6 linked regions of the Ovis aries genome follow. The protein of the gene in region 3 purifies or fractionates together with the protein of the main gene of each other region. This does not show direct contact. Links are inferred from orthologs where the notes say so. Each region holds a gene or a part of one and is shown on either strand. Other genes may lie near its edges. The genes, in order: SIN3A, CHD3, MTA1, DNMT1, HIC1 and BCL11A.

Region 1 (4,252 bases), about 36 Mb from region 3:
AGAAGAGGTTGTACACTTCATCCATCCCTCTTAACTTCTGAGCTGCTGTGTTACTAAAGAGTAGCTTGGACTTAGGGGGACTGCCCCCAACACCATTGTGCTTCTTAGCCGCCCCTGTGGCTTCATCTACATCCATCTCTTCTTCTTCCTCTTCCTCCACATCTGAGAGATCACCTCTCTGAGCAAAGAGCAGATCTGGAATAAAATGATGCATGATTTGCTTGATTTTATATTTGTCTTCCTTCTGAATGCCTGTCTGCCTCTTCACGTGGTGGATAATCAGAGCAGCAGCATCTTCCAGAATCTGCTTGTCTTCATAGGCAAGTGAGAGGTGTGGGCCAACAGGTACACCAGCATTTTCTTCCGTAGCCTGCTCTTGCCTCTACCAGGAGAGAGAGAGAGACAAAGTATTATGTGACAGCTACAAAAGCACCAGGCAGACCTACGAGACTACACTAGCAGTATGTCCATAATGGCCACTATTTTCCAATCGAAAACTTCCAGAAACAAACAGATACTGTGCAAGATGTGGTTTGATACCAAAATGACTGGAGGTACCATGACTGGTACCTCCCAGACACTGAGATTTTTAAAAGACAATAGGACAGAAAGGGGACCATCTTCTAAAATTTTACATTAGTACTTATGGAGGATACGATATGAGGTCTAAAATTTCCTTTAAAATACTTCTGGGAGTGAGGAAGGTGGCAGATATAACAGAACTGGCAAGACAGGGAGGAAATTAAATTTATGTCAGTTCATTTTACTGTTCTCTCCCTTTTCATGTATGCTTGATATTTTCATAATAAAGTTTAAAATTCAAGATCACGCCCTTCTAGAAATTCTCAATCATACTCTATTTGTTTCTATCCATCCCCTAAGACTATGAGCTCAAAGAAACAAGGATTAACTTCTTATTCATCTGTGTATCCTAGCTCCCAGTACTCTACATAATCCTGAAGGATGCCGAATAAACAAGGATTAGAAAGTCTGGGGGCAATTCTCTGGTGGTCCAGTGGTTAAGACTCCATGCTCTCAGTACCAAAGGCCTGGGTTCAGTCCCTGGTGGGGGAACTGTAATCTCACAAGCCACACAGCATGGTCAAAAACAGAGAGAGAAAGAGTGTGGGGATTGAAGATAGTATTTTAAGTTGTGGAAAGTTGAGATAGGCTACAAGAAGGAATATAAGGTACTGTTGGAAGGAAATACGGAGAGAAGTGGAAGAGGGTGGCAGTGGGCATGAACTATAACCAGGATGGAAAACTGGGAAACCAGTAAAACAGCTCAGTGAGCCTTAGATTTAAAATGGTAGAAGAATTGGGAATAGAAGTCTATCCTATGAAGCAACAATCAACAAACCTTGGAGGGTCTCAGGCTCATATAACAAAGGTAATTTGCAGGAGTCAAAGCTATGCTGAGCATACAGACTGGAGACTTCTCACAAATGTTGAGACCCTCGACTCACCTCATCATATATACTCTCAATCTCATTGAGTAAGCTCTTGGACCTCAGGACCTTGGTGTCATTTTGTTTAAAGTTGATGCCTTGGTGGTCCAGAGATTTCAAATAGTATTTCTCATTTTGCTCTCTCCACACCTTGTTAAAGCCTCTCTGAGCTTCTCGCCATTCTTCCTCTTTCATCTTCAACCTAGTGGGGTGGAGGGTGGAAAAAGAAAGACATAAGAGTTCAGAGGAGGGAATTTTAAGGCAAGGAGTCATATTACACTTGTAGACTGGAATCCTCACTCTGCCATATTAGCCACGTAAGACTGCCTCCTTATCCGTAAAAAGAGGATAACAGCACCTCATCCCACAGGGTTTAGAAGTAAGAAATATGTCAGGTTTACTTTATTTCAAAGGTCAACAGGTACAGCAGATCTGTCAAATCTGTTGGCAACTCTGGAATAAATTTATTCAAGCTAGTCTTGAACTCTGATACACGAGAAAACTACTCATTCGGGACTTACTATGGGGAAGTAATTTATCCCAAAGTCAGAAATCTTGCAGAGAACAGTTATTTCTCAACCAACATTCCACAGAATACCCTAGAAAAGTAGACTCTCTTCTTTGGCCAGCTAAAACAAAGTGAAACAAGTTTCCCTGCTACAGGACTTCTGAGAATTGTCATTATGCTAATGCAAATGCGAATGTCCAAGAGCAGAGAACTTGAGCAACAATGGATGCTCCTCTAGACAGAGCCTGGAAGTTCCAGCAAAAACAACTGACTGAGCCTCTGGAAGAGAGGAGAGAAAAATCAAAACCAGCACTAGAACTGAAGGATATCCTCCACCTCGAAGACAAAAGTTAAACACTACTGGCAAGAAGGCAAACACCTTCTGCCAGCTCTTGAGAGGAAGACTGGGGAGGAACAAGAAAATCTGGGCACGTGTGACTGTGCAGTGGATAAGTTTTTCCAGTGGTGATACAGGACCAGATTTTTAGGAGCGCCATGGACTTCGAGGAGCCTGGGGCTCAGCCCTGGCCTCCTCGATACCTACAGCCTTATTTTAGGTGGGTTCAACAGCCCCTCTATACTTGGTTCGAAGGTTGGTTAGAAGAAAGAAGACATTCTTGAATTTTTATGGGACGCTAAGGCTTTTTAAGTAACATATCAATTTCATAAAGACAAAGTGATTTTTCTTATTAAAAAACAAAAGATGTGAACATCGGTTAGTACTAAGTGGCAGGAAGGTGGGTGGCTGTTTTCTTCTTTGTTCTCTATTTTAAAATATCCCCCTAAACACACAGAGCATTCCAGTATGGACTGGAAAGGCTTGTTCTCTGCTGTTGGTGACACAGAACCCCATCAAGAAGTTCCACTATCCCACACTATCCACCTGACTTCCTACAGCCGCGGTTGGAGAGAAATGGAGGTCTCAGGGAAAAACTGGGCTGAAAAGGAGAATCTTATTTAATGGGACACTAAATCTGTTGAGAAGTGCACTAAAGCATGAAGGGCGTATGCACTCAGGTACCTTTTAAGGACAATTGGGACAGCAATGGAAGGGTTCTTCCTCAGACCATCAATGATGTCAGCTGCTTTGTCAGCATATATCCTTTGGAGTGCTTTTCGGTGGATGACTTCCGATGTGCCCCCGAGGGTGTTGTCCAAGCGAAATTTAGCTTGTTCTTCGGCAGACAAGCGGGAAAGTTTCTTCTGTATTGCTTCCAGAACCCGGATAGTTGCCAGATTGGTCTCTAAAACTACATCAAGCTATTGAAAAAAAAAAAAAAAGACAGTGTGCTCAGGACCCAAATCAGAACAGAATAGCTGTCAGGAGTAGAAGGTAGAAGTCAAACTCCCTGGATTTGAATCTGGGCTCTGCCATACCATAGCCATATAAAACTGTTAGCTTATCAGTAAGACAGGAATACCACCACCTACTCTCACAAGGTTGGGTTCTGGATTTAACAATACAACCCACATAAAGGATTTAGCACAATACCAGGCACACAGCAAACATCCAAACCCTGAATATTCACTGAAAGGACTGATGATGAAGCTGAAGCTCTAAAATTTCGGCCACTTAATGCGAACAGCTGACTCACTGGAAAAGACTCTGATGCTGGGAAACATTGAGAGCAGGAGGAGAAAGGGGGTGACAAGAGAATGAGATGGTTGGATGGCATCACCAGCTCAACGGACATGAATCTGAGCAAATTCAGGGAGATGAGTGAAGGACAGGGAAGCCTGATGTGCTCCAGACCACAGGGTCACAAGGTCGTCTTAGCAACGGAACAACAACAAAGCAGTAGTTGATACTTCTAGCGCCACCAATGTGGTTTATTGAGGATGACCGGCCCCCATGCCAGAGGGACCTAGGAGGAGGCAACCTTACTGACACTTTCCCCTGAACTTTTGTGAATTACTCAGATCTGTTACAGACAATAACAACCACTACCACCAAATCCCAAAAAGATCATTCAAGATATTAAATCAATCTCATGAGTAAAGTTTTTCAGAGTAACTTGAGATGTTTAAATGTTTAATGTCTTTTTGCACATCTACTAACAATAAGAGCATTACTTAAGGGCTTCAATGTTGTATTTGTGAGTAACCATTTAAATTTTCACTGAATATTTCTGACACTTTATTTTCTGGCAAGGGCCAAGCCTAACCTGGTTAAAGACATGACTAGCAACCTTGAATTAACTTTTTTCCAAAGCTTAACACAAAATTTTCCAGATGAGAAACAGAAAATAAAGGAAATAAGCAGTCTCAAGAGTCCATGACTCTGTATAAGTGTTTC
Region 2 (4,252 bases), on a different chromosome or scaffold from region 3:
TGGGCTGAGCTTTCCATCTACCACCCCATCAAAACCCAACCAAAGTACATACTTAGTCACCTCAGTCATGTCTTAACTCTTTGTGACCCCTTGGACTATAGCCCCCCAGGCTCCTCTGTCCACGGGATTCTCCAGGAAAGAATACTGGAGTGGGTTGCCAGTCCCTCCTCAAGGTACCTACTATTTGCCTATTTCACAGATGCAGAAACTGAAGATCAAAGTGAGCTGCCCAAGAAGCACCAGGACCTGAATTTTAGCAGGCTGTCTCCAGAGGGCTGAAGGGCTCTGCTAAAGTGCCTGCTTCCCCCAAAGGCATCTCTATTGTTCTCTCCTCTACTTTAGAAGCTATTGACTTGCAGGTGCCACTCTCAGCCTGCACTACTACTGCTGTCTAAGGGAAGGGCAGAAGACTCGATAACCGAGCAAAGGAAACTGGGAAACACTGATGCCACCTCTCCACTCCAGTCTGATGAAAAGTCAGGCAGGGTAAACTGGAACTGTTAAGAGCAGAGAGGGCCATCGGTCACCAGAGTTTTCTAACCTAGCCGTGGAACTCTGATCCCCAGTGAAAAGTTCCTGACTAGAGTGCTTGGATCCTGGAATCCAGGAATTCTCTGATATTACATGGGAGTTAGGTGTGTCTGTGCTGTGAATTTCTCTGGACAGCCATTTTTTAGCTTTCATCAGATTCCAGAGAGGTCCAGGGCCTCCCTCAAATTAAAAGCATCGGCTAGTGAGGGTTCCCCAGCCCTACCGTACCTCATGAATTGGCTGAAGGCTTTGTAGTTGGTGAGTGTGTGGTAATCTTCCTCGGAGAACACATGTTCCACGTCCTCCAGGCCCCAGGTCAGAAGTAGGGTTGCTGATGACTTCTGTTCCACTTGCTAGGATACCAGGCTTCTGTTAGCCAGGTGCTCTCCTAACTCCAGTCCTGGGCTCCCCCCACCCCCTGACATGCCTCCCTGCCCACTCACCAGCTTCTCTGGGCTTCCAGTTTTCTGTTCCATTCCCAGCCCAATCCCACTCCTCATAAACCACAGCCTCTCCATTTGTCACCCTGCTTGCCCAGGGCTCTCCCTCCCCTACTCTTCAGGCTTGTCATTGATACAGATTTCTTCCCTCACTCCCCAAATCTACTCACCTTTTGCCCCCCCTCTCCCTCCCCTTTTTTCCGCCGCTTTGTCTTCTTCTCCTTTTTTTCTCGGTGCTTCCGTCTCCGTTTCCGACCTGGTCCGGTTCCATATTCACTGCCTCCACTCTCTGACTTCTCCCGGTACTCATCTCGCTCAGAGCCAAATTCCTCCTCGCTGTCCTAAGGAAGAGAAATAAAAACACTATTTTTTGAGCCCTAGCGTGTGCCAGGAACTCCTCTTAGCACAAAATATCATCGTCTCTTTTAAACTTCACAACAATCCTATGAGACAGCAACTAATCTATTTTTATCCATTTTTTTTTTTTTGTAGAGGAAACTGAGGCACGGAGAGCTAAGTAAGCTGCCCAAGAAGATAGAGGACTGCTGGGCTGTGAATTCATGCAGTCTACCTGCAGTGCTTCCAACAGCTTCTCTGTGTTGCAGGGCAAGTAAAGTCGACAAAAGGGCTCTTCACTAGGATGTAGTGAGTAAGGTTAGGGTCCCAGACCTGGGAGATACAGGCTAGCAGGAGTGGGGCTAGGGGCAGGCAGAGGGAGTCAGGTCTCCCTGACTTCAGGGTCCCCATGGCAATCAGGCCCAGAGAAATCATAGGTCTCTGGGATGGGTCTCCAAGCCTCACTGTAGAGACAGGCATGCGTAACACTTACAAGCTTCTTGCGTTTCCGGGGCTTTCCTGGCTTGTTCTCCTTCTGTTTCTTAGGTCCTCGCTTCCTCTTCTTCACGCCCAATGTTGAAGGCAGCAGTCGAATGTCATCCTTATCTTTGGAGCAGACAGCACCGGAAAACCTAAGCCTCTAGGCTCCCAGCCTCTGCAGCCCTTTTCCTCCCTCACCTCCTTGGTTCCTGCTCTCTAGGAAATCCAGCATTAACTCTTCCAAACCTTGCCTCCCTTTGCTGGACGCAAACAGAGAGTGTTTCGAGTACTCTGGGATGCCTGGGTTGTGAATGGGAGGTCAGGGGTCAGAAGAGGAGAGCAGCCAAACCACTCCTGTCTCTCCCCTCCTACTAACAAGGGACCAGGCTCTAGGCCATGGGCTCTGACTGTGGCAGGTCCTTTTAGTCGCCGCCAGGGCTCCTCCTGCCTTCCCCCTCACTTAGCCAGCTGGCATCCTGCCCAGGAACTGGGGAAGCCATGCCCAGCTGCTGGCCTGGCCTGACCCCAGCACTTGGAGTGGGGAGACACAAGCTGGCAGCTCCCTAAGCCAGATGCTGAGAAGGCAGAGCCAAAGGTGGACACCTGGGCTCTCACACTAACACCCTGGGGCCCTGACATCCTTTCTGTGAGGAGTGAGGCCTCTATTTACACTTCCTCAGATAATCACCCAGACTCCTGTCACCCCAGCATAGCCCTGGAGGAAAAGAAACCCTCAGTCAGCCATGTTCACTTCTGGCCCACAGGATCTTGGTGTCTGGCTCCTTTGTCACTCCCTAGCCCCACAGGAGAAGGTCTCCACAATTACCTATACATTCTTCCTCCTCCTCCCAAGCAGCCTCAATTGTGCCTTCAAATCTACATCCACATCCCTGTTCCCTTTGAGAACTCAGGCGCCCTACCCGTTGTCCCTGGTCTCACCCCTTGCCTCCAAATGTAGTCTCAAGCATTCTAACCCATTCATATCTAAGCAGTATGGGAGACCCACACAAAGACACTGGACAGGCATAGACACACCCCTCAAATGCATTCTCAAATGCACAAGCATCACATACTCATGAGCACAAACCCAGAGGACAATTTGTACATGCTTTTAGCAGGGCTAGGTCCCTGGCTTTCTCTCCAGATGTCCCTGTCAGACAATCTGGGGCTGGTTCTTCCCAGATGTCCCCCTCTCCCCATTCTCCATGACCCCTGCCACACTGTGGAGGCTTAGGGTTCAGAGAATAACTACTTCAGGAGGAAGACACAGCCGATGCCACACAGAAGTGAGGCCCCGGTGTGAGGCCTCCCTCCCCCAGCAAGCACTAGACTAACCAGCCAGACCTGTCCTGCTCAGGTAGAGGCAGCAGCGCTGGAGGGAAAAGCCTGGGCCGGCCCAGCCCCTTGCTCTAGGACACACAATCCTTCTCCCCACAACAGCCAAGGGAAAATTAGCCACAATTTACACCGGAGGCCTCGGGTTTCCAGCGCCTCAGAATCGCGGCGCCTCCTTCCTTCAGTGCTACTTCTCACAGCTCCGGCATCCTGTGCCCTCTCGCGCGGGACGGCACTCTAAAATTGGGGGGCTGTGGCGCGGGGGGGGGGGGGGGGGGGAAGTGCCTGCAGGCAGCCCGGGGTGTGAAAACAGAGTGGGTACCGTAATAGGAAGTCAGTAAGACGCCGTGCCCCGCAGCCAGCGCTCTCTCACCCCAGGGACTCCGCTAATACGAACATGGAAACGGAGGCTGCCGGGGCAGTAGCAAGGGCAGGCCAACTGGCTGAGGATCAGGGAAATGGCCTCGGTCTCCGCCAGCTGGGGGTGGGGTGGTGGGGGGACACCAGCCCTGGGACCTCGCAGCCAGTTAACTCCACTCTCCACCCCAGCGGGAGGTTCCCCAACTTGGGAAGACGGCGGTAGTGCGGGGACGCAAAGTAGACGGCTAGGAAAGGAGAGGGAGGGCAGGAAAGCAAATCTAAGTCCCAACCTCTGCCTCACCAGCCACTCAATGCTGGCCGCGCGCCCAGACTCTCCCACATCCCGGCTCAGATCTCGGAAGACGGCGAGGGAGGAGCGCGGCGAGGGGGCCGGGCGGGGCCTGGCGAACCGGAGAGAGGGAGGGGCCTCGCCGAGAGCCTCGCCTCCCGCCCCTCTCTTCTTCTAATCTCACCATCAATCTCTCACACATATATTTATTTTTTCTCAAATTCCCCTCCCTCCCCCACAACGAACCACCATAATAGGTCTGCTGCACATGCGTATTGCATGCAGGGGGTGGGTTTGTATTTTCAGACCTTTTGCAAAGAAACTACCAGAATTTTCCGCACCACCCACAATCATTCCCCACCCCCACCCCTAAGGAATCACATCTATATATTATGTTATATTATTTCTCTAGACTTGCCAGAAGAGGGAGGGCGAAGAAATGAGTTTTGGGCTTCCTGCTCCCTTCCCCCATCAGCACGAG
Region 3 (4,831 bases):
CGCCCACCGCCCGGTGACCGAGGCGCCCGCGGCTCCGGGCTGCGGGGCTTCCGTCTGTCCTGGAGCCTGATGGAGCAGCTCTGCCTTCACGAAGGGGCAGAAAGAGAGGAACCCGCCGCCCTCCTGCAGAGCAGACGCCCCCGCCCCCCGCAGCGGGGCGTGGACCCTGACCCAGCCACCGGCATCCAGGCCTCGCCCGCCACGTGCCGCCCAAGAGGCCTTCTGTCCAGGCCCGGCCACTTCCTGGGGAAGAACCAGGCCTGGTCCCTCCCAGGCTGACCCACTCCGCCCAGCCGGTCAGTTGGCACGAAGCTGCGGCCATGCCTTCGCCCCGCCCAGACACCCTGGCAGGGCCTCGGGACAGCCTGCCAGGCAGGACGCAGGACGCCCGGGAGAGGCTGGGTGCCGCGGACCACTTTCTTGTGTCCCTCCCATGCGGCATTGGGGACACACAGATGCTAAGACACGTTGCATCTGAAATGCAACCCTAACAGGCATCCTGTACTTTTTCGTGCTGGATCCAGTGACTGGTGGAGGGTCCTGCGTGCGGACAGCTTCCCCGGGTTCTGTCCCTGTGGTGCACCGAGGCCAGGCAGCCTGCCCAGTGGGCCCCAGCCCCAGGGAGAGGCGCGAATCTGCCCATCTGGGTCCTGAGAGGCCCTGACGGCGACCCCAACCCCAAGCCAGCAGCTCCTCGGGACAGGACGCCGACCTGCCGACACCCTGCCCACAGGCCCTGTGGACCCAGGGGACAGCGCCTTGGGATCCCGTCCAGAGGTGGGGGACGGAACAGCAGGGACCAACCTGGAGTCCAAGGGGAAGCGGCCCTCCATTCGGGCCCCGGGAGCGCCTCCGGGACCCGCGGGGGACACAGGTGTCTGAGGCACAGCAAGGCCTGAGTGCGGCCAGGCCCTGGTCGATTGCACAGCCAGGAGGCCTGGAGCCCACACGTCAAAGCAGGGACGAGAGTACAGGCTGCGGTGCCCACGGCCTGGGAGGGGCAGAGATAGCACACAGTGGGGGTCCCGCCCTGAGCGGCAGGCGGCCAAGGTGTAGTGGGGGCCAGCGAAGGGCCCCCAGCACCCCACTGCCTCCCCCTCCAGTCTCCACCCAGGAGCTGGGCGCCTCCTCTCATTCATTTATTCAGCACCCCAACGCGGCCCTAGGGCGGAAGCCTGGCGGGGGGGGGGGCTTCTGGCCAGGTAAACCTCAGGGGCACCAGGCAAGCCAGAAAGGTGGGCCAACCGGAGGGGTCTCACGCCGGGAAAGAGGGGGCCTGCATGCAGAAATGTGGTCCGAGAGGACACTGTGCGGGAGGAGAGCTGCCAGGGCGGCCAGGGGACCTGGGCGGGGGAGGCTGGGGGCTGCCAGCACAGAGGGGGCGAGTGGGTCCCAGGGACCTCCTACCGCCCTCCAGGTGACCGGCTCCTGCTCGGATGGGCCAGGGTGGGAAATGAACAGGCCCCTCCCTGAAGGGCTGCTGCAGCCGAGCCCGACCCCCACGTGTCCACCAAGGGCCTGTGCTACAGGGGGCACAGGCCCCCATTCCCGCGACCACCCGTGAGCCAGAGCGGGCAGGAGAGGGCCTGACGGGCCGGCAGGTGTCCTGCTTGCCCACTGCCCAGGTGGGGGTGTGTGCCCAAGGTCACGAGGCTGGCCTGGCCCTCGGGGTCAGCCGGCCAGCAACAGGGCAGACGGCGCACAGAAGTGGCTCGGACAGCGAGGCCACGGCTGCTCTCAGGCCTGACACGCTCCACCAAAGCTGGGCACGCGGGCCTCTCAGGATCTCAGAGACAGCCAGCGGGCACCTCGCCTCCCTGTGAATTCACGGACCAGCTGGGAACCCCACGGGAAACCAGCAGTGCCCTCTCCCGGAGCCCCCTCCCCACAAAGTGGGGCAAGACCCAATGCCAGGGGCTTCCCGGGGCCCAACGAGGGGAGGAACAGCCCAGGAGGGGAGCCTACAGGGCCTCGGCCCGCTCAGCATCCCAAGCAGGGACCACCTGGCTCATCGACACCCCTGCAAAGCACCTCCCTGCCGCCCTGGGGAAATAGGAGGCAGCAAAAAAGTTTGGGGTGTGTTGAAAGCACGCTCGGGTGACCACAGGCTGCTAAGGCTCTGGAGAGGAAATCCCCCAGAACACAGCCCCTAAGCATACTCCAGGCCCAAGCCCTCAGCGGTCCTGGGCTCCAGGGGGGGACATGGCCCGCACCCCAGATCTGAGCCCCTAGCTCCCCCCCCACCCCACCCCCGGCACACCGTGGGCCCTCCTCATCCCTGGGCCCCGGAGCCCCCCACCCCCGGAGGGCAGCCGGGCCTCCTGCACCACGTGCTCCGCTCCGCTGGGGGCGCGGGGCTCAGGCCAGGCCCCCGCACAGAAGGGTGCTGGCATCCCCCACAGCTCCTCACAGACCACAGGCCGCCCCCAACAGGTGGGCACAGCCCCCCCTCACCTCCCCCGCTCGGCCCCTGTCCCCGCCGGCTCCAGCGGGGCGGCCCCAGGGGCCCTTTCGGGCCGCAGTGAGCGTGGCCGGGCCGGGGTGGGGGTGGAGGGCAGGCCGCTCAGAAACGATGGAGGGGGGAGGAGACGGGGTGCGGTGCAGACGAGGGGTGCGGGCGGCCGGGGGGAGGGGGGATGCCCCGGCAGGCCGGCCTGCAGTGGGGGAGGGGCGGGGCGGGGGAGGGGACCGGACTGGGGGGCGGGGGCGGGGGCGGGAAACGGGGAGCGGGCGGGCGGGCGCCGCGGCGCGGGGTGCAGAGCGGCCGGGGGATGGCGAGGCCCGGGGCGGCGGTTTGGGACCGAGGCCGGCCGGGGGGGGGGGGCGGTGGGCAGAGACGGCGGGGCCGGGCCGGGGGCCGGGAGTCCGGGGGGCCCGGGGCGGGGGTCCGGGGCCCGGGGCGGGGGTCCGGGCGGGGGCCCGGCGGAGGCCCGGCCGCGGCGCATAAAGGCGGCGGCGGCGGCGGCGGCGGACAGGCGGCGGCCTTACCTCCGACCCTGTACATGTTGGCGGCCATGTCCGGCGGCGGCGGCGGGGGCCGCGGGCTGGGCCGGGCGGGCGCGGGGCTCGGCGCGGGCGGCCGGGAGGACGCGGCGCGGCGCGGGCGCGGGCGCGGGGGCGGGCGGTTTAAAGGGGCCGCGCTGCTCGGCCGCCGCCGCCGCCGCCGAGGCCGCCGAGGCCGCGCAGGGACCGAGGCCGCGGGCGGGCGGGAGAGGAAGAGGAGGGGCCGCGCGAGGGAGGGGCCTGGGCGCCGCCGCGCCCCCCGCGGGGCCGCTTCCCGGGCGCCCCGCCCCGCGCCGCGCGCCCCCGGCGCCGCCGCCCGCGCGCCCCGCGCCCCCGCCGCCCGCGCCCGGCCCCCGCCGCCCGCGAGCGCCCGCCGCCCGCGCCCGGCCCCGGGGTCTTTGTCCCTGCCCCCGGCCCTGCCCCGCGGCCCCGCCCGGACGGCGGCGGGCCCCCATCCCACCTCCGCGCGGGCACCTCCGCCCTGGGCTGCGGCCCGAGAGACCGGCCAAGGGGCCGGGTGGCCGTGCCCAGGGTACCCTCTGGGAGGCCCCGCCCGGGAGCGGGGCGGGGGGTAGGGGGGGCCCCGACGCGGATGGTGGGGGCGGGGGGCGGTGTTGGGGGCCTGGCGGGGGTCCGGCGGCGCGGCTGGCGGTCCGTGCGAGGACAGCGAGGTGGAAGGGCCGTGGGTGAGGCACCGGCCTGCCCTCCGCAAGCCCGGCAGGACCTGGCACGCTGTGTGGGCTTAAGTCTGAGGATGGCGGTGGCCCGGGCACTGCCCGCAGGAGAAAGCGGAGGGTGGAGGGGGCGGCCCGGCTGGCCAGTAGCGGGCCCAGTGGGGCTTTTGGACCAGCCCGCTGCTCGGGGGCCAGAGGAGGGAGGTGAGGGCCCCAGGGTGACTGCCTCATCTGCCTGGGGACATCCCTGTGGGACGCGAGGGGACAGAGCCCAGGACAGGCCCCAGGCCCCGCACGTCGTGGAGACTGAGGGCGGCTAGAAGGCAGGAGCTCAGCGCTGAGGCCATTCAGGCAGGCCCCCCTAAGGGGAGGACAGGAACGTCCCCCTCCCCACAGCCCATCCTAACTCAGTGAGCTGCGTCTCCTCCTCTGGACAGCGAAGCTGTACCATGAAGCCTCCATCCACCAGCACCCAACAAGCTGACCAAACAGTAGAAACCACGGATCAATGCCCAGGCAGCACAGAGCCCCACATTTCCCGTCTGCAAAGCGCCTGCTCCTGTCTCCCTGAGAGTGGCATCCACCTGCAGCACCCCGCCTGCCGCGGGGAGAAGCACCGAAGGGCGGAGGCTGCCTTCCTCCAGCCACGGTGGGGGATGGGGGCGAGTGGCGGACAGGGCTGCCTCTCCCTGGAAGTCTCAGGCACGCTGCTGGGTTCCAGGTCTCCCCCTCCCAAAGCAGAGCGACGTCTGCTAAGCCCCGCTCCTCTGCCGGCTTCACACTGCTTTCCCCTCTCCAGACCAACAAGGGGGGTTGCAGGCAGGGCCCAGACCTCACACCAGCTCAGAGGCATGGCGACAGGCCCCAGGCACCTTGCAGAAGACTTCAAAATTCTTGCATTTAGTGGAAAAGGAGATGTTCAGGAAGGAGCCCCGAGGGCGTGCCACGTGGGACGGGGCGGCCCTGTCCCAGACCACAAGGGCCGCAGAAAGAGTGGGGAGCGGGGGCGAGGGGCGACGGAGTCGCCTCCACAGGAGCCCCGCAATCCGAGGTCAGACGTTAGGCTGTTAGGCTGACAAGACAGCAGAGCAAGAGCAGATGTGAGCCGAGGCGGCAGGCCAGGGTCCCGCCGCTGCCAGGACAGGAAGCGGGGC
Region 4 (3,781 bases), on a different chromosome or scaffold from region 3:
CAGGGACACCCAGGTCCGGTGGGTCTGCACCCAGCTCAGGGCCGCTGGCCTCCTGAGCCCCTGCACCTCCTGCTGAGAAAGCCTGAGACCGTGCCCCTTCCCTTGAGCCCCCCACATGGCTGCAGATCCTAACGGGGCTGGAAGCGTCACACCAAGCAGGAGGAAGCCATACCCGGAGGCCAGGGCACGGGGAGGGGCTGCCCCACCTTCCACACAGGAGCAGACCCCGCGGAGGGCGCCGGCGCTGCTGCAGCCGTTCTTCTTGTCGTGGTAGTTGTACCGCAGCTTCCGGGCCAGGGTGCCATCGGAGAGCCGCACCTCAATGTTGGGCAGGTCACGCCAGTCCGAGCCCGGGGCCAGGGGGATGTGCCGCATGCGGGCAGCCACCAAGGCGCTCATGTCCTGGAGGAGCACAGAAGGCCCGGCTGTCGCCCAGCTGGGGGAGCACTCAAGCAGGTGCCATGGGGGCTGGGTGCTGTCATGGTGGGCACTGGGCACGCTGGCGGCGACTAGGAGCCCCCAGGCACTTGTATCCCACTGGGGGAGACTGACAGTAACCCCAGTGCACAGCCTGGAGTCACACACGTGCATTGATAACTCCAGAGCGGGGATGTGGGAGAACGGGGGACGGGTGAGGGGGTGGCTTTGGGCAAGTGCAGGCAGGGTTTGGGAGGAGCTGGCGTGGCACAGGTGGAGCCAGAGGTGGGGAGCCCTGGGGTCTCCCAGAGAACAGGGGTGGTGAGAGACGCGGTGGGAAACAGTGGCCATTCCAGAACTATTTAGGAAGAGTGTAAACTATTCTAGGGTGTAAGGTCTTCCTAGACCTATTACTTCGGAGTAATAAGCTCTGATGAACACCCCACGACCAAGTACTGCGGTGGGGGAGGGTGGTGGTGGAGAGAGGGTGGGTAATTGGAAAAGCAGGAGGCGGTGAGGCGGTGAGGCTGGGGGCCGGCTGAGATAACGCTGGGCTAGGGGTGAGCAGTCAAGAGCAGAAGGGGTGGAAGGGGAGGGGCGGACATCAGCTCCTCCAGCCCAGGCTGCGCTCCCCCCGCAGCTCTGTCCCCAACAGGCAGCTGCAGGGAGGCCTGCTCTGGTCACCTTGCAAATATGATCCCTGAGGATGGGCTGGTACTGCGAGCCCCGGAGCTGCCTCTGGAACCAGGACTGGGGCTCCCCGTTGTATGAGATCTCCAGTGCCGAGGCCCCATTCCGGATCTCGGGGAGGTCGGACATGGTGTCCCGCACGGTGATGGTTCGGAAGGGACCTGAGCTCAACCTGCAGCAAAGCATGGAGGGTTGGCACCTCTGGGACACACAGCTACTGTTACCTGAGTCACAGCTGCTATCCCCGACGGCTGGCACCGTCTTCTGCAGAAAAGGGGACCTTGACTTGGGGTCAAAGGGCTACCCGAGGTCACCGGGGCAGCACTCTCCTCAGACCCTGTGTAGAGCGTGGGCTCTGGCTGTGGCCCTGTACTCAGGGTGCTCGGGCAGGATAAGCCCAGAGGGGCAGAGCGTTCTGGGGGCAGGCTGGACCCCACACCACTGCTCCTCGCTAACACTTTCTCCGGGCCCGGGGCCTTGTCACTGAGGTCCCCCGGCACCACCCTGCTCCCCCAAACCTCACCGGCACCACGACCATGGGCGGGCAGGGCTCCTACCTGGTGATGTTGCTGACAAACTTCTTGTCGTCCACCACGACGCTCAGCTGGCAGGCCCGGGGCGCGAACACGTGCAACGGCTCGGGGAACAGAGGGAGTGGCTCCCCAGGGGCTGCAGCCAGGATGATGGCTCGCCTCCGAGTCTGGGCCACGCCGTACTGACCAGCCTGTGCAGGGAGGACCAGAGACGCACAGTCAGCGGGCACCCTGACTCGCTGGTCTGAGGGCTGGGGTCCGTGGCATCTGACTTTGGGGAGCATCTGGCCGGTGTGAAGCTCACCCAGAGAGCCCTTAGTTAACCCACAGTGCTAGTGCTAAATTGCTTCAGTCACATCCGAATCTTTGCAATCCCATGGACTGCAGCCCACCAGATTCCCGTCTATGGGATACCCCAGGCAAGAATACTGGAATAGATTGCCATGTCGTTCTCCAGGAAGTTAACCCAAGGCTTCCACTTAACCAGAGTGAGGCCAGAGGGCAGGACAAGCGATCCCAAGAGGTGGCCAGCAACCGCGGGGGAGGTGGGAGTGAGCTCAGGAGATGCTCTCAGCCGGTTCTTTGGACACATGGGGGTGCCGTGGTCTTAGCACTGGGGAGGAGAGCAGCCAGGGGAGACACCAGGAGCCGCCCTCCCGCCTGGCAGCCCACAGTCACAGAGACAGAACACGGCCACCAGCGAGGCTTGTTCGGTTAGGCTGAGACACTGTGGAGACCAACAGGGAGGGCTTGGGGCCGAGTGCCACCCTCTCCCCTCCACACGCTCACTGTTTTCCAGCCATCTCTCCCTCCTGTTTCAGCACCCGTTTCAGTTTTAGTTATGCCATCAGTTACTGAACAGGCACACACAGAGCAGTCGCTCTTCAGAAGAGGCCTCGTCCCCTCTGCCCACCCCAAGGCCCTGTCACTGCACACACAGCCACTGAGAGGCCCCTGGAGTTTCACCATGCACACCCTCGAGGTGTTCATAAGCACGTCCATTCACGCAGAGACTCGGCCATTTAGTCTATAAAACAGTGTGGTCTATGTGTTGTTCCTGACCCACCCTGTGTGGGAGTCTAACTGCTACCTGGAGTTCCACAGCTGGGCACCCCTACACCCCATCAGGGGAAACGAGCTGGAAACGACGCAGCAAAGAGGTCTCTTGCACATGGTCCCTCAGGACTTGCTGGGGTCCTGGCTCTGAGTTCCTCCAGAATCTCAATGCCAAAGGCTCTATCTATAGTGCAGTGCGGGCCAGCATCTGCCTCCACCAGACTATACGTCATCACCCTACAGCCTGATCCTTTGAGGAGTTTTGTTTTTAATTTTTGGCCACATTCAGCAGCATGTAGGATCTCAGCTCCCCACCAGGGATTGAATCCACACCCCCCCATGTGGAAGTGCTGGGGAAGTCCCCTTTGGAGCTCTGTTTTCAGTTACGGACAGTTTTTTGGAGCTCTGTTTTCAGTTACGGACAGTTTGTTGCAGTCCAGGGATGGCTGCCCCCGCCTCTGGCCTCTGCGTGCGCCCGTCTGCCCCTGCCCAGGCATGGCTGCCCCCGCGTCTGGCCTCTGCGTGCGCCCGTCTGCCCCTGCCCAGGCATGGCTGCCCCCGCCTCTGGCCTCTGCGTGCGCCCGTCTGCCCCTGCCCAGGATGGCTGCCCCCGCCTCTGGCCTCTGCGTGCGCCCGTCTGCCCCTGCCCAGGCATGGCTGCCCCCGCCTCTGGCCTCTGCGTGCGCCCGTCTGCCCCTGCCCAGGCATGGCTGCCCCCGCCTCTGGCCTCTGCGTGCGCCCCTCTGCCCCTGCCCAGGGATGGCTGCCCCCGCCTCTGGCCTCTGCGTGCGCCCCTCTGCCCCTGCCCAGGGATGGCTGCCCCCGCCTCTGGCCTCTGCGTGCGCCCGTCTGCCCCTGCCCAGGGATGGCTGCCCCCGCCTCTGGCCTCTGCGTGCGCCCGTCTGCCCCTGCCCAGGGATGGCTGCCCCCGCCTCTGGCCTCTGCGTGCGCCCGCCTGCCCCCGCCTGCCCCCGACCTGGGCGCACCTGCAGCACGCCGAAGGTGCACTGGTAGCCCATGCGGACCAGGCAGCGCAGCGTCAGCTTCAGGACCATGGAGCGCTTGAAGGAGACGAAGTTTCGAAC
Region 5 (4,936 bases), on a different chromosome or scaffold from region 3:
CTCACACGGGAAATCTGGGGGCTTGGGTCGCTTCTGTGGGACCCCCAAGAGGCTCTGTCCAGCCATTTCCAGTCACCTTTCCTGGGTTCCATGTAGAGGCCTGCAAGTTCAGGGTGGGGTTTTGGGTACCACCTCTGCCCAGGTCATGGAGGGCTCTATATGGCAGTACCCTGAGTATGACAGAAAGCCGGTTCTTGGACTCCAGAAGGGACAGGTGTGCGTCTGCAAACATGCACGCTCACGGGTGTCAATGCATGGAGAGGGTCTGGGTGCAAACGGGTCTATTCTGTGCATACCTATCCCACGTGGCTGAGTGAGGTTGGGTGTATTGGGGGGCCGGTGTACAAATGGAGAGTGCCATCCAGGGATATCTAATGAGAGACCCTTAAGAGCTTGTCTATCTTCTTCCTTAGGATTTCGGAAGCCTCCTCCCTTCCACTGCCCCTTCCTTGAAGGCCGGACTTATCTGAATTGGGACAATGTCAGAATTTAGAAATATGTACACAGGAACATTCAGCTCAAAACCCCGGTTTTTGTGGGGCTCGAAGGTCCGGGGCTGGGGCCTCCAGGTGGACACATCTGGAAGGCTGAATCTGAGAACGGGCCCCACTCCTGGGTCCACTTCGGCATCTGCGAGCCTCCCTCCATCTCAGGTGCGCAGGAAGGAGGCCGTGGCTGTGCCGCGCAAAGTACCGCACGGCCGCGAGGTGGCGCCATAGCTGCAGCAGCGCCCGCCGGCCCGGGCCGCTCCAGATAAGAGTGTGCGGAAAGCGCGGCGGGGCTGAGACGCGACCAGGACGCGGGGAGGACGGACCAGCAGGACAGACCGACCGGGGGCCCGGCGGGCGGAGGGCAGCGCAGCGCAGCCACGTCCCCCCCTGGATCCGCCGGCAGCCGGGCCCGGGGCTTCCGACATGCCCCCCAGGTGGGTCCTAGGGCTGGGGACGGGGGAGGGACAGGGGACCCGAACAGCCCGGTCCTCGCGCGCTGGCCGCCTGGGGCGCATCCTCCGGCGCTGGCGCCCCCAACGCGGCTGGCGTTCAGGGCTCCGGGTGTCACCCCTAGAGGACTCAGGACCGCCGGGCCGCTGCTCTGCGCCGGGTTCACGGCGGGGTCAGCGGCCCGGGGCCGGCTCTGCCCGCACATGGGCTGGAGAGGCGAGGGGAAGGGAAGGGGAGCTGGCGGGCGGGGCTGGCAGGGGCGCTGCCCTGGCACAGCGCGGCGCCTGGCAGCGGGGCGGGTGGGGCGCCGACTAGGAGCTGCCACCGCCGCGGGGAGGGAAGCCCGGCCAGGCTGCGGCCGCAGGTAACGGGCCGCGCGCGAGGCCCTGGGGACTAGGCAGCGAATGGGGTCGGGCGGGCGAGCGGACGGCCGGGGTGCTCAGGGCTCGGTTCAGGCCCGGCGGCCGCTTGGCAGCCGAAATTGGGGGCCGAGAGGAAAAGCTGGGAGCCGAGGGACTGGGGCTGGCGCGCTCCTCCCGGCCTGTCTGAAGTTGGGAAACTTTTCCCCAAGTTTGGGGCGGCGGAGTTCCCGTGGAGAAGGGGCCGAGGGGAGCCGGGGAGGGAGGCGCCGGGCCCGCGAATGCAGAGCGGAGGCCGAGGCCGGGGCCGGGACGCGGGTGGGGCGCAGGCCAGGGTCAGGGCCGCAGCCGGCTGTATGCCGTGCCCGCCCGGGGCGCTGCCCCCTCCCTCCCCTGGGAGCTGCGTGGCTCCCCCCTCCCCCCCACCTGCTTCCTGCCTCAGCCTCCTGCCCCGATATAACGCCCTCCCCGCGCCGGGCCGGCCTTCGTGCTCTGCCCGCCACGGCAGCCGCTGCCTCCGCTTCCCGCGCCACAGCCGCCGCCCGGGGCCCCAACCGAGGGTCTGACAGCCCCCGGCCAGGGCGGCGGCACGGCGGGCACCGCATTGCCCTCCTCCGGACCTCTTCCCCCAACTGGGGCAACTTCTCTGGAGGCGGGAGGCGCTTTTTCACTCGGCTCCCTTGTATCCCACTTGGGCAAACTTCTCAGCCCTGAATGACTTTTCCTGAAGCGGACATTTTCCTCAAATCGGGTAACTGTTTCCACAAGGGTCGCTTCGCCGGAACAGTTTTCTCCTCGGAAGCCCCCAGAACCCAGGCAGAGTGCCCGGCTGCATCCGGGCCTGGGGGTGCCGGCCAGCCTGGCCTCCTCTCTGCCGGCTGGTCTCGGCTCCTTCTTCTGGTCTAGGCCGGCCGGCCCAGGCGCCCACTCTTGGAGGCCGCGGATTCTCCGCCAGTGCCCAGGCCGCCGTGCTCTATGCCCCTGCCCCTGCCCAGCTGAGGGGAAGGGGAAGTGCAGGGGAGAAGCGCTGGGCTGGGGGCAGGCAGCCAGCGCTCGGTGCGGCTCTGACCCCGCCGGTGTGTGTCCCCGCAGGAGAGTGTGCTGGGCAGACGATGCTGGACACGATGGAGGCGCCCGGCCACTCCAGGCAGCTGCTGCTGCAGCTCAACAACCAGCGCACCAAGGGCTTCTTGTGCGACGTGATCATCGTGGTGCAGAACGCCCTCTTCCGCGCGCACAAGAACGTGCTGGCGGCCAGCAGCGCCTACCTCAAGTCCCTGGTGGTGCACGACAACCTGCTCAACCTGGACCATGACATGGTGAGCCCGGCCGTGTTCCGCCTGGTGCTGGACTTCATCTACACCGGCCGCCTGGCGGATGGCGCGGAGGCTGCGGCGTCGGCCGCCGTGGCCCCGGGGGCCGAGCCGAGCCTGGGCGCCGTGCTGGCCGCCGCCAGCTACCTGCAGATCCCCGACCTCGTGGCGCTGTGCAAGAAACGCCTCAAGCGCCACGGCAAGTACTGCCACCTGCGGGGCGGCGGCGGCGGTGGCGGCGGCTACGCACCCTACGGGAGGCCGGGCCGGGGCCTGCGGGCCGCCACGCCCGTCATCCAGGCCTGCTACTCCTCCCCGGCCGGGCCTCCGCCGCCGCCCACCGCCGAGCCGCCGTCGGGCCCCGAGGCCGCTGTGAACACGCACTGCGCCGAGCTGTACGCCTCGGGCCCCGGCCCAGCCGCCTCGCTCTGCGCCCCGGAGCGCCGCTGCTCCCCGCTCTGCGGCCTGGACCTGTCAAAGAAAAGCCCGCCGGGCTCCGCGCCTCCCGAGCGACAGCCAGGGGAGCGAGAGCTGCCCCCGCGCCCAGACAGCCCTCCCAGCGCCGGCCCCGCCGCCTACAAGGAGCCACCGCTCACCCTGCCACCGCTGCCGCCGCTGCCCTTCCAGAAGCTGGAGGAGGCCGGACCGCCTCCGGATCCGTTCCGAGGTGGCGGCGGCAGCCCGGGATCCGAGCCCCCCGGCCGCCCCGACGGGCCCAGCCTCCTCTATCGCTGGATGAAGCACGAGCCAGGCCTGGGCAGCTACGGCGATGAGCTGGGCCGCGAGCGCGGCTCCCCCAGCGAACGCTGCGAGGAGCGCGGCGGGGACCCGGCCTCCTCGCCTGGGGGCCCTCCGCTTGGCCTGGCGCCGCCGCCGCGCTACGCGGGCAGCTTGGACGGGCCTGGCGCGGGCGGCGACGGCGACGACTACAAGAGCAGCAGCGAGGAGACGGGCAGCAGCGAGGACCCCAGCCCGCCCGGCGGCCACCTCGAGGGCTACCCGTGCCCGCACCTGGCCTACGGCGAGCCCGAGAGCTTCGGCGACAACCTGTACGTGTGCATCCCGTGCGGAAAGGGCTTCCCCAGCTCGGAGCAGCTGAATGCGCACGTGGAGGCGCACGTGGAGGAGGAGGAGGCGCTGTACGGCCGGGCCGAGGCGGCGGAGGTGGCCGCGGGGGCCGCCGGCCTCGGGCCCCCTTTTGGAGGCGGTGGGGACAAGGTGGCCGGGGCCCCAGGGGGCCTGGGCGAGCTGCTGCGGCCGTACCGCTGCGCGTCGTGTGACAAGAGCTACAAGGACCCGGCCACGCTGCGGCAGCACGAGAAGACGCACTGGCTGACGCGGCCCTACCCCTGCACCATCTGCGGGAAGAAGTTCACGCAGCGCGGGACCATGACGCGTCACATGCGCAGCCACCTGGGCCTCAAGCCCTTCGCGTGCGACGCGTGCGGCATGCGCTTCACACGCCAGTACCGCCTCACAGAGCACATGCGCATCCACTCGGGCGAGAAGCCCTACGAGTGCCAGGTGTGCGGGGGCAAGTTCGCCCAGCAGCGTAACCTCATCAGTCACATGAAGATGCACGCTGTGGGCGGCGCGGCCGGCGCGGCCGGGGCGCTGGCGGGGCTGGGGGGGCTCCCCGGCGTCCCGGGCCCCGACGGCAAGGGCAAGCTCGATTTCCCCGAGGGCGTCTTTGCAGTGGCGCGCCTCACGGCAGAACAGCTCAGCCTGAAGCAGCAGGACAAGGCGGCTGCGGCCGAGCTGCTGGCTCAGACCACGCACTTCCTGCACGACCCCAAGGTGGCGCTCGAGAGCCTCTACCCGCTGGCCAAGTTCACCGCGGAGCTGGGCCTCAGCCCCGACAAGGCGGCCGAGGTGCTGAGCCAGGGCGCACACCTGGCCGCCGGCCCCGACGGCCGGACCATCGACCGTTTCTCTCCCACCTAGTGCGCCTCTGGCCTCCGTGTGGCCCCGGGCGCGCCCCCCGGCGGCGCCGGCGGCCACCAGCAGGCGGGTGCCCCCCACCTCCGCATGCCCGGACGACAGTAGCAGCCGCGGCAGCGTCGCCACAGGGTCGGCGGCCTCACCTGGCCTCACTGCTTTGTGCCTTAGCCCGGGGGTGGGGGTAGGGGGGGGGGAGGAAACCCCGGGACGGGGGTGGGTTGGGGGAAGGGAGATTTATATTTTTGATATCAGCTTTGACCAAAGGAGACCCCCGGCCCTTCTCCGCCTCTTCCTGTGGTTCGTCGGCCCCCACCTCCCGGCTCCGTGCTGCTCTTGTGGGGGGAGGGGTGCCACTGTTGGGGCGCTCCCAGCCCTACCTCCG
Region 6 (5,018 bases), on a different chromosome or scaffold from region 3:
CTCCACTCCCGGTGCACTGGGGAGTCGGCCACGCGCCCGGGCGCTTCTCCGCAGCCCTGGCCAGAAGCATTTTTAAAGTCAAAACGAAGAACAAAGACAGAAGGGGTGATGGGGTGGGGGGGAGAGGAAGGGAATTCTGCCTAACCGTCCGTTTCCCCCACCCCCACCCTCGCAAAGCTCTTCCCTCCGGGTCGAGAAATGCAGAGGGGGGTGGGGGAGGAGGCCCTGGTACAGGTTCAAGTTCGCTGAGCTTTCTTGATCTTGTTCTGCCTCCTAGCGACCGAACGGCTCATTCAGCCCTAGAAACGGGGGATGGGGGCAGGGGGGAGGGAAAGGGGGTCCTGAAGACTAGAATGGCTCCCGCCCCCTCTGCGCACCCAGAAAATTAGAAAGGAGCGACCACCGCACCCACTTTAAACTGGCCCCTTAACCCAAAACCCGCTCTGAGACTCGGGGATTCCAAGGGGATAACCCACCCAGCCTGGAGTCTCGGGATGGGCCCCGGGAGAGTGGGGGACGGGGGAGCAGCCTGGACTGCACGCCACAGTCCGTCCTTTGAGCCCCCAGTGCATCCTTCCGAAGAAGGGCCCGGCTTTCCCGAGTGCTGCGAACATTGCCCTTCCTTCCCGCCGGTACCTGGCCGGGCTGTAACTTCACACCGCCGCGCGCCGCGTCTGCTCCGCATCCGGCGCGGCCGGGGGAGTGGGGGCGGGGGAAAGCGGTGAGGGAGGGATGCGCGGGGGTGGGGAGAGGGAGGGCCCGCAACGTGCCCGGGCGGGGGAGCTTTCGAAGTGTGTGACAAGTTCCAGGACCCAGTGAAAAATTCAATTCCCTACGCGCACCACCCCCCCCCCGACACACACACCTTTAAAAAATACAGAACTGGATATGGGGTGGTCCTTTAAAATTGCAGCAAAAATTAAAATACGGGTCATGAATGAGGTGGGGGAGGGAAGTGGGCCCTCTCACGCCTTTCTTTCCTTTGCAGCCAAACTTTCCTTAGCGCCCACTGCCTGCCTTTCCAGGCGCATTCTGTTAGCCAGGAGGCAGCCACCCACTTAACCACCCCACCTCCCTTATACAGACTCAGAAGGGCCCCCAGATCCAGCCAGGCCCGAGGTAGACAGCAAGAACTCAAGGGAGGGATGCTCGGAGTCCCGGGGTCAAACACCCCCCAAAACCATACTCGAACCAACTACTTCCCTACCGTCTACCCCCACCCCCCGCCCCCCACCCCCACCTTGCGTGGCCGAGCTCCGGAGCTGGGGGCTATAGGCTTGTCCCTGTGGGAGGGGGGCAGGGAAGGCACGTGGTGATCTCCCCGCCGCCCTGAGCTGGGGGCAAGAGGCGTCGCGGGTAGGGGACGGACAGGACTCGCTTTTAGGGATGCTTTGCAAAATAAAAATGCTTTGCAAAGATGAGTTTCTCCCCAGCCGATTTCGCAGTAGGGTTGGCCAAGAGGAGGTCTGGGCATTGTATTAGGGGGCCAGAGAGGACCCTGGACCCGCTGGCGCTGAGTCGCTGCACCGCTTGCCGCTGGGCCAGCGGGCTGGCGACGGGCGCCGGGTGGGCGATCCCGGGCGGGGCGGGGGCGCGGTGAGGCCGGGCGAGGCCCCGGCGAGGCCCGGCCGCAGCCGCCGCCCGCTCCCGGCCTGCCGCGCCGCGCTCGGTCCTCTGTCTGTTTGTTGGCAGGAGGTTCCCGCACACGCGGTGCTTGTAAACATTCAGACACGAGATTTTTCCCAATCAAAATCCACTTCCACTTTTTTTGAAAATCTTCCAAAAAATAGTAAGAGGAGGGAGTTCCTCGCTCCCTCTCTGTGCCGCCGGCGCTCTAAGTTTGCAACTAAAGAGGTTTTGGTGAAGGGGGTAATTGTATTTTTCCCCTCTATTAGAGATTGTGAGATATTTGTAGGGGGGGCGCGGTGGGGGAGTCAAAGAGGAGAGCGTTGCTGCAAACCGCTGGCGGAGCGCTTGGCGTCTGTCTGGGGGCAAAAAAAAAAAAATGTTGCCATGTTTTATTTTATGTATTTTATTTTATTTTAACCTATTTTCGCCGCCACTGAGGTTCGGCCGGGAGGGGCGGGCAGCGGGAACCCGGGCGGCAGCACCCACAGCGCCCTCCCTCCCTCTTCGACTGGCCCCCGGCCCTCGCTCCTGCCCTTCGGCGGCGGCGGCGGCGGCGGCGGCGGCGGCGGCGCGGGAGGGCAAGCGCGAGGAGCCGGCACAAAAGGCAGCGGGGCAAACACCCACCTCGGGCCGGAACAAAAGGCTGCAGCGCCGGCCGCGGCTCCGGTCCTTCCCGGTCGCCCAAGCTCTCCCGGGCACCGCGGCCCCTCTCCAGACTCGGCGGACTCAAGAGCGCCGGGGTCCCCCCTCCCACAATCCCACTTTCTCACTATTGTGGAGATGACTACTTTCTTCCCAGTGCACACTTGACCGTGAGCGCGCTGGTGTCCAAGGGCCAGTCTCACCTCTTTTCTCCCTGGGAATCGTTTTTTTTTTTTAACTTGGGCTCCCCACCCCCCGTTTTTCTTCCTACGGTAAGTGGAAGTAACCCCCTTTCCCCTCCAGTTCCCTCCCTTAGGTTTGCACGAGAGTTGTTAGCATCCACAGCATTGTTCATTATTTTGCAAAATTGGAGGCGAAATCATTGCATTCCTTTCTGAAAAGCGAAATAAAGCAGAGGAAAGCAGGAAAGAGGAGGAGTCAAATTTTTGTAAAATTAAATAAAATTAAAAGGTTCGTGCTATCCCAAAAGTGTACATACGGCTACGATTCGGGATGGGATGAGGTTGGTTCCCCCCCCCCCCCGCTTTAATCTCTTTTATCCCGACTCTCGGAGGTTTTTCTCGTGAAAAAAAAATTTTTTTTAATGCATGCACACACCCCTCTCTCCCCCTTTCTCTTGCTTCTCGTCCTGCGCGCTCTCGTGATTATTAATAATTATTATTACTATTATTGGGTTACTTACGCGAGAATTCCCGTTTGCTTAAGTGCTGGGGTTTGCCTTGCTTGCGGCGAGACATGGTGGGCTGCGGGGCGGGCGGGAGGCGGCGGCGGCGGCGGCGGGCGGACGACGGCTCGGTTCACATCGGGAGAGCCGGGTTAGAAAGAAGGAGACTCCAGAGAAAATATCTTCATCAGTGCCTTTTGACATCCAAAATAAATTAGAAATAATACAAAGATGGCGCAGGGAAGATGAATTGTGGGAGAGCCGTCATGGCTTTTTTTTTTTTAACCAAAAAAAAAAAAGAGAGAGAGAGAGAGAGAGGAGAGATAGAGGGGGAGAGAGAGAGAGAGAGATGAAAAAAATGGCAAAAGCCCCCCTGAGCTGCAAGTTCAAGTGCGGACGTGACGTCCCTGCGAACTTGAACGTCAGGAGTCTGGATGGACAGAGACACACAAAACATGGGCAGGGCGAGCAGGAGAGAAGGGGAGGAGGGAAGGGGAAGCTCACACCAATGGACACACATCAGGGGCTGGACATGAAAAAGAGACCAGGACAAGCCAATGGCCAGTGCGGGGCGGGGGAGGTGCCGGGCGGGGGGCTCCGCAGACGCCAGACGCGGCCCCCGTGGGAGGGGCGGGCGGAGGGGAGGGGGCGCTGGGGCCTCGGGCTCACCAGTGGCCGCAGCGAGTGCAGAGGCAGCGGCTTGGCGGGGAGAGAGGGAAGGGGCGGCGGGGGAGGGGAAGAGCCAGACGTGCGCCCTGCTCCCCCCAACCCCGGCACGCGGACCCTAAAATGAAAGATTATTTTAAATTAAAAAAAAAAAAAAGAGTGTCTGGAGGCTGCAGGGGCCGGGGAAGCGCGGGCGGAGGGAAGCCAGGTAGAGTTGCTCCCGGACACCCTCCTGCGTGCGCACACCCACTTCCCTTCGCCGCCGCCGCGGAGCTCGCGCCTCGTGTGCGGACGCCGGGGGCCGAAAGCCCAGAGCCCGCGGCTGCTCTCGGGAAACTTTGCTCGAGGAGAGGATAGCCAAGAAAAATCACCCGAAGTTGGGAGCTGAGCCTCCAAGTTACAGCTACGCCGCGGGCGAGGGGAGGCGGGAAGGAGCGCCCGGCCAAGCAGAGTCCAGCTCAAGTTTGGAGGCTTGCGGGTCCGGAAAGGCAGCGCGGGGGCCTCCGGGAGCCCGGGCGGTCCGAGAGAGAGAGAGAGGGCAAGGGCGAGAGAGGAGATGCAGGCCCCGGGCCGGCTGGCGGGGAGGGCGCCCCCCAGGCCGAGCCGGGGGGCCGGAGATCTGAACGTCCAGACAAACGATCGGGTGTGAATGCCACTGGGAGTAAGGAGTCAGGCTCTCAACGGTCGAGGAGGAAGAAAGAACAGGGAGCCGGACTCGGGGCACGTTCCGGCCCCGGGAGTGGAGTGCCCGGACCCAGGGCGAAGGAGGCGCAGAGGCGTCCACCTCACGGGGCCGCCGCCGGCCAGAGGACAAAGCCCGGGCAGTCGAGGAGTGCCAGTCCCTGGGAACGGGCTCCCGGCGCCGCGGGAGGTCCCTAAGCTGGGTCCCAAGAAAAGACACACCCCCTCCCACTCCAGAGCTACTGCTAAAGCACCGAGGAACGGCAAGAAAATGTTTCTTACGGGCAGAGCACAACTAGTCCAGTGCAGTTACCCAGGGAAAGAAAATGGGGAATGAAGAAAGAGCGACTGGCTCGCGGGAGCAGCGGGGAGGCCACAGTGGTGGGGTGACCGCCCCGGGTCACCGCCACGCTCCCGGGGGGCCCCGGGCGGAGCTGCACCCGCCGGAGCCCGCAGCCCAGGTCTGGCCTTTCTGCAGACGTTCCCGGGAAATTAGGGAAGACCTGTTGGAAATAAACCCCTGTCTCTTTAATGCACATACACACGCGCGCGCGCGCGCGCTGCTGCTGTCAAAAAGCGGGCTTCACTCTGGCGTGGGATACTTTCAGTTTTACGTAAAATGTACAGCAACAGCACCCCCTGCGATTGGAAAGTTTATTCAGAAACGTGCCTGCAAAGTCCCCCGGCGTCTCCCGCCTCCCAGTCTCCCCGCCTG

Evidence for each region.
Region 1: the proteins of MTA1 (region 3) and SIN3A purify together in Homo sapiens (affinity purification with mass spectrometry; 3 studies listed by BioGRID, with this or other methods). This does not show direct contact. The link is inferred for Ovis aries from reciprocal best matches to the Homo sapiens genes MTA1 and SIN3A.
Region 2: the proteins of MTA1 (region 3) and CHD3 purify together in Homo sapiens (affinity purification with western blotting; 7 studies listed by BioGRID and IntAct, with this or other methods). This does not show direct contact. The link is inferred for Ovis aries from reciprocal best matches to the Homo sapiens genes MTA1 and CHD3.
Region 4: the proteins of MTA1 (region 3) and DNMT1 purify together in Homo sapiens (affinity purification with western blotting; 4 studies listed by BioGRID and IntAct, with this or other methods). This does not show direct contact. The link is inferred for Ovis aries from reciprocal best matches to the Homo sapiens genes MTA1 and DNMT1.
Region 5: the proteins of MTA1 (region 3) and HIC1 purify together in Homo sapiens (affinity purification with western blotting; 3 studies listed by BioGRID). This does not show direct contact. The link is inferred for Ovis aries from reciprocal best matches to the Homo sapiens genes MTA1 and HIC1.
Region 6: the proteins of MTA1 (region 3) and BCL11A purify together in Homo sapiens (affinity purification with mass spectrometry; 4 studies listed by BioGRID and IntAct, counting the BioPlex papers as one, with this or other methods). This does not show direct contact. The link is inferred for Ovis aries from reciprocal best matches to the Homo sapiens genes MTA1 and BCL11A.

Annotation. Positions count from the first base shown.
Region 1 is NC_056071.1:31,080,143-31,084,394, reverse strand, and holds part of SIN3A (paired amphipathic helix protein Sin3a), read right to left. Parts: intron 3,217-4,252; coding exon 2,978-3,216; intron 1,651-2,977; coding exon 1,467-1,650; intron 383-1,466; coding exon 1-382. UniProt on the Homo sapiens protein: Acts as a transcriptional repressor. Corepressor for REST. Interacts with MXI1 to repress MYC responsive genes and antagonize MYC oncogenic activities. Also interacts with MXD1-MAX heterodimers to repress transcription by tethering SIN3A to DNA.
Region 2 is NC_056064.1:27,388,235-27,392,486, reverse strand, and holds part of CHD3 (chromodomain-helicase-DNA-binding protein 3), read right to left. Parts: intron 1,914-4,252; coding exon 1,801-1,913; intron 1,313-1,800; coding exon 1,142-1,312; intron 885-1,141; coding exon 760-884; intron 1-759.
Region 3 is NC_056071.1:67,443,499-67,448,329, reverse strand, and holds the start of MTA1 (metastasis-associated protein MTA1), read right to left. Parts: upstream 3,215-4,831; 5' UTR 3,017-3,214; coding exon 2,989-3,016; intron 1-2,988. UniProt on the Homo sapiens protein: Transcriptional coregulator which can act as both a transcriptional corepressor and coactivator. Acts as a component of the histone deacetylase NuRD complex which participates in the remodeling of chromatin.
Region 4 is NC_056058.1:12,544,399-12,548,179, forward strand, and holds part of DNMT1 (DNA (cytosine-5)-methyltransferase 1), read right to left. Parts: coding exon 3,683-3,781; intron 1,832-3,682; coding exon 1,665-1,831; intron 1,280-1,664; coding exon 1,102-1,279; intron 403-1,101; coding exon 207-402; intron 1-206. UniProt on the Homo sapiens protein: Methylates CpG residues. Preferentially methylates hemimethylated DNA. Associates with DNA replication sites in S phase maintaining the methylation pattern in the newly synthesized strand, that is essential for epigenetic inheritance.
Region 5 is NC_056064.1:22,964,935-22,969,870, forward strand, and holds the start of HIC1 (hypermethylated in cancer 1 protein), read left to right. Parts: upstream 1-1,783; 5' UTR 1,784-2,014; coding exon 2,015-2,051; intron 2,052-2,392; coding exon 2,393-4,557; 3' UTR 4,558-4,936. UniProt on the Homo sapiens protein: Transcriptional repressor. Recognizes and binds to the consensus sequence '5-[CG]NG[CG]GGGCA[CA]CC-3'. May act as a tumor suppressor. Involved in development of head, face, limbs and ventral body wall.
Region 6 is NC_056056.1:63,450,307-63,455,324, reverse strand, and holds the start of BCL11A (B-cell lymphoma/leukemia 11A), read right to left. Parts: upstream 3,403-5,018; 5' UTR 3,030-3,402; coding exon 2,975-3,029; intron 705-2,974; exon of another isoform or gene 686-704; coding exon of another isoform or gene 637-685; intron 1-636. UniProt on the Homo sapiens protein: Transcription factor. Associated with the BAF SWI/SNF chromatin remodeling complex. Binds to the 5'-TGACCA-3' sequence motif in regulatory regions of target genes, including a distal promoter of the HBG1 hemoglobin subunit gamma-1 gene.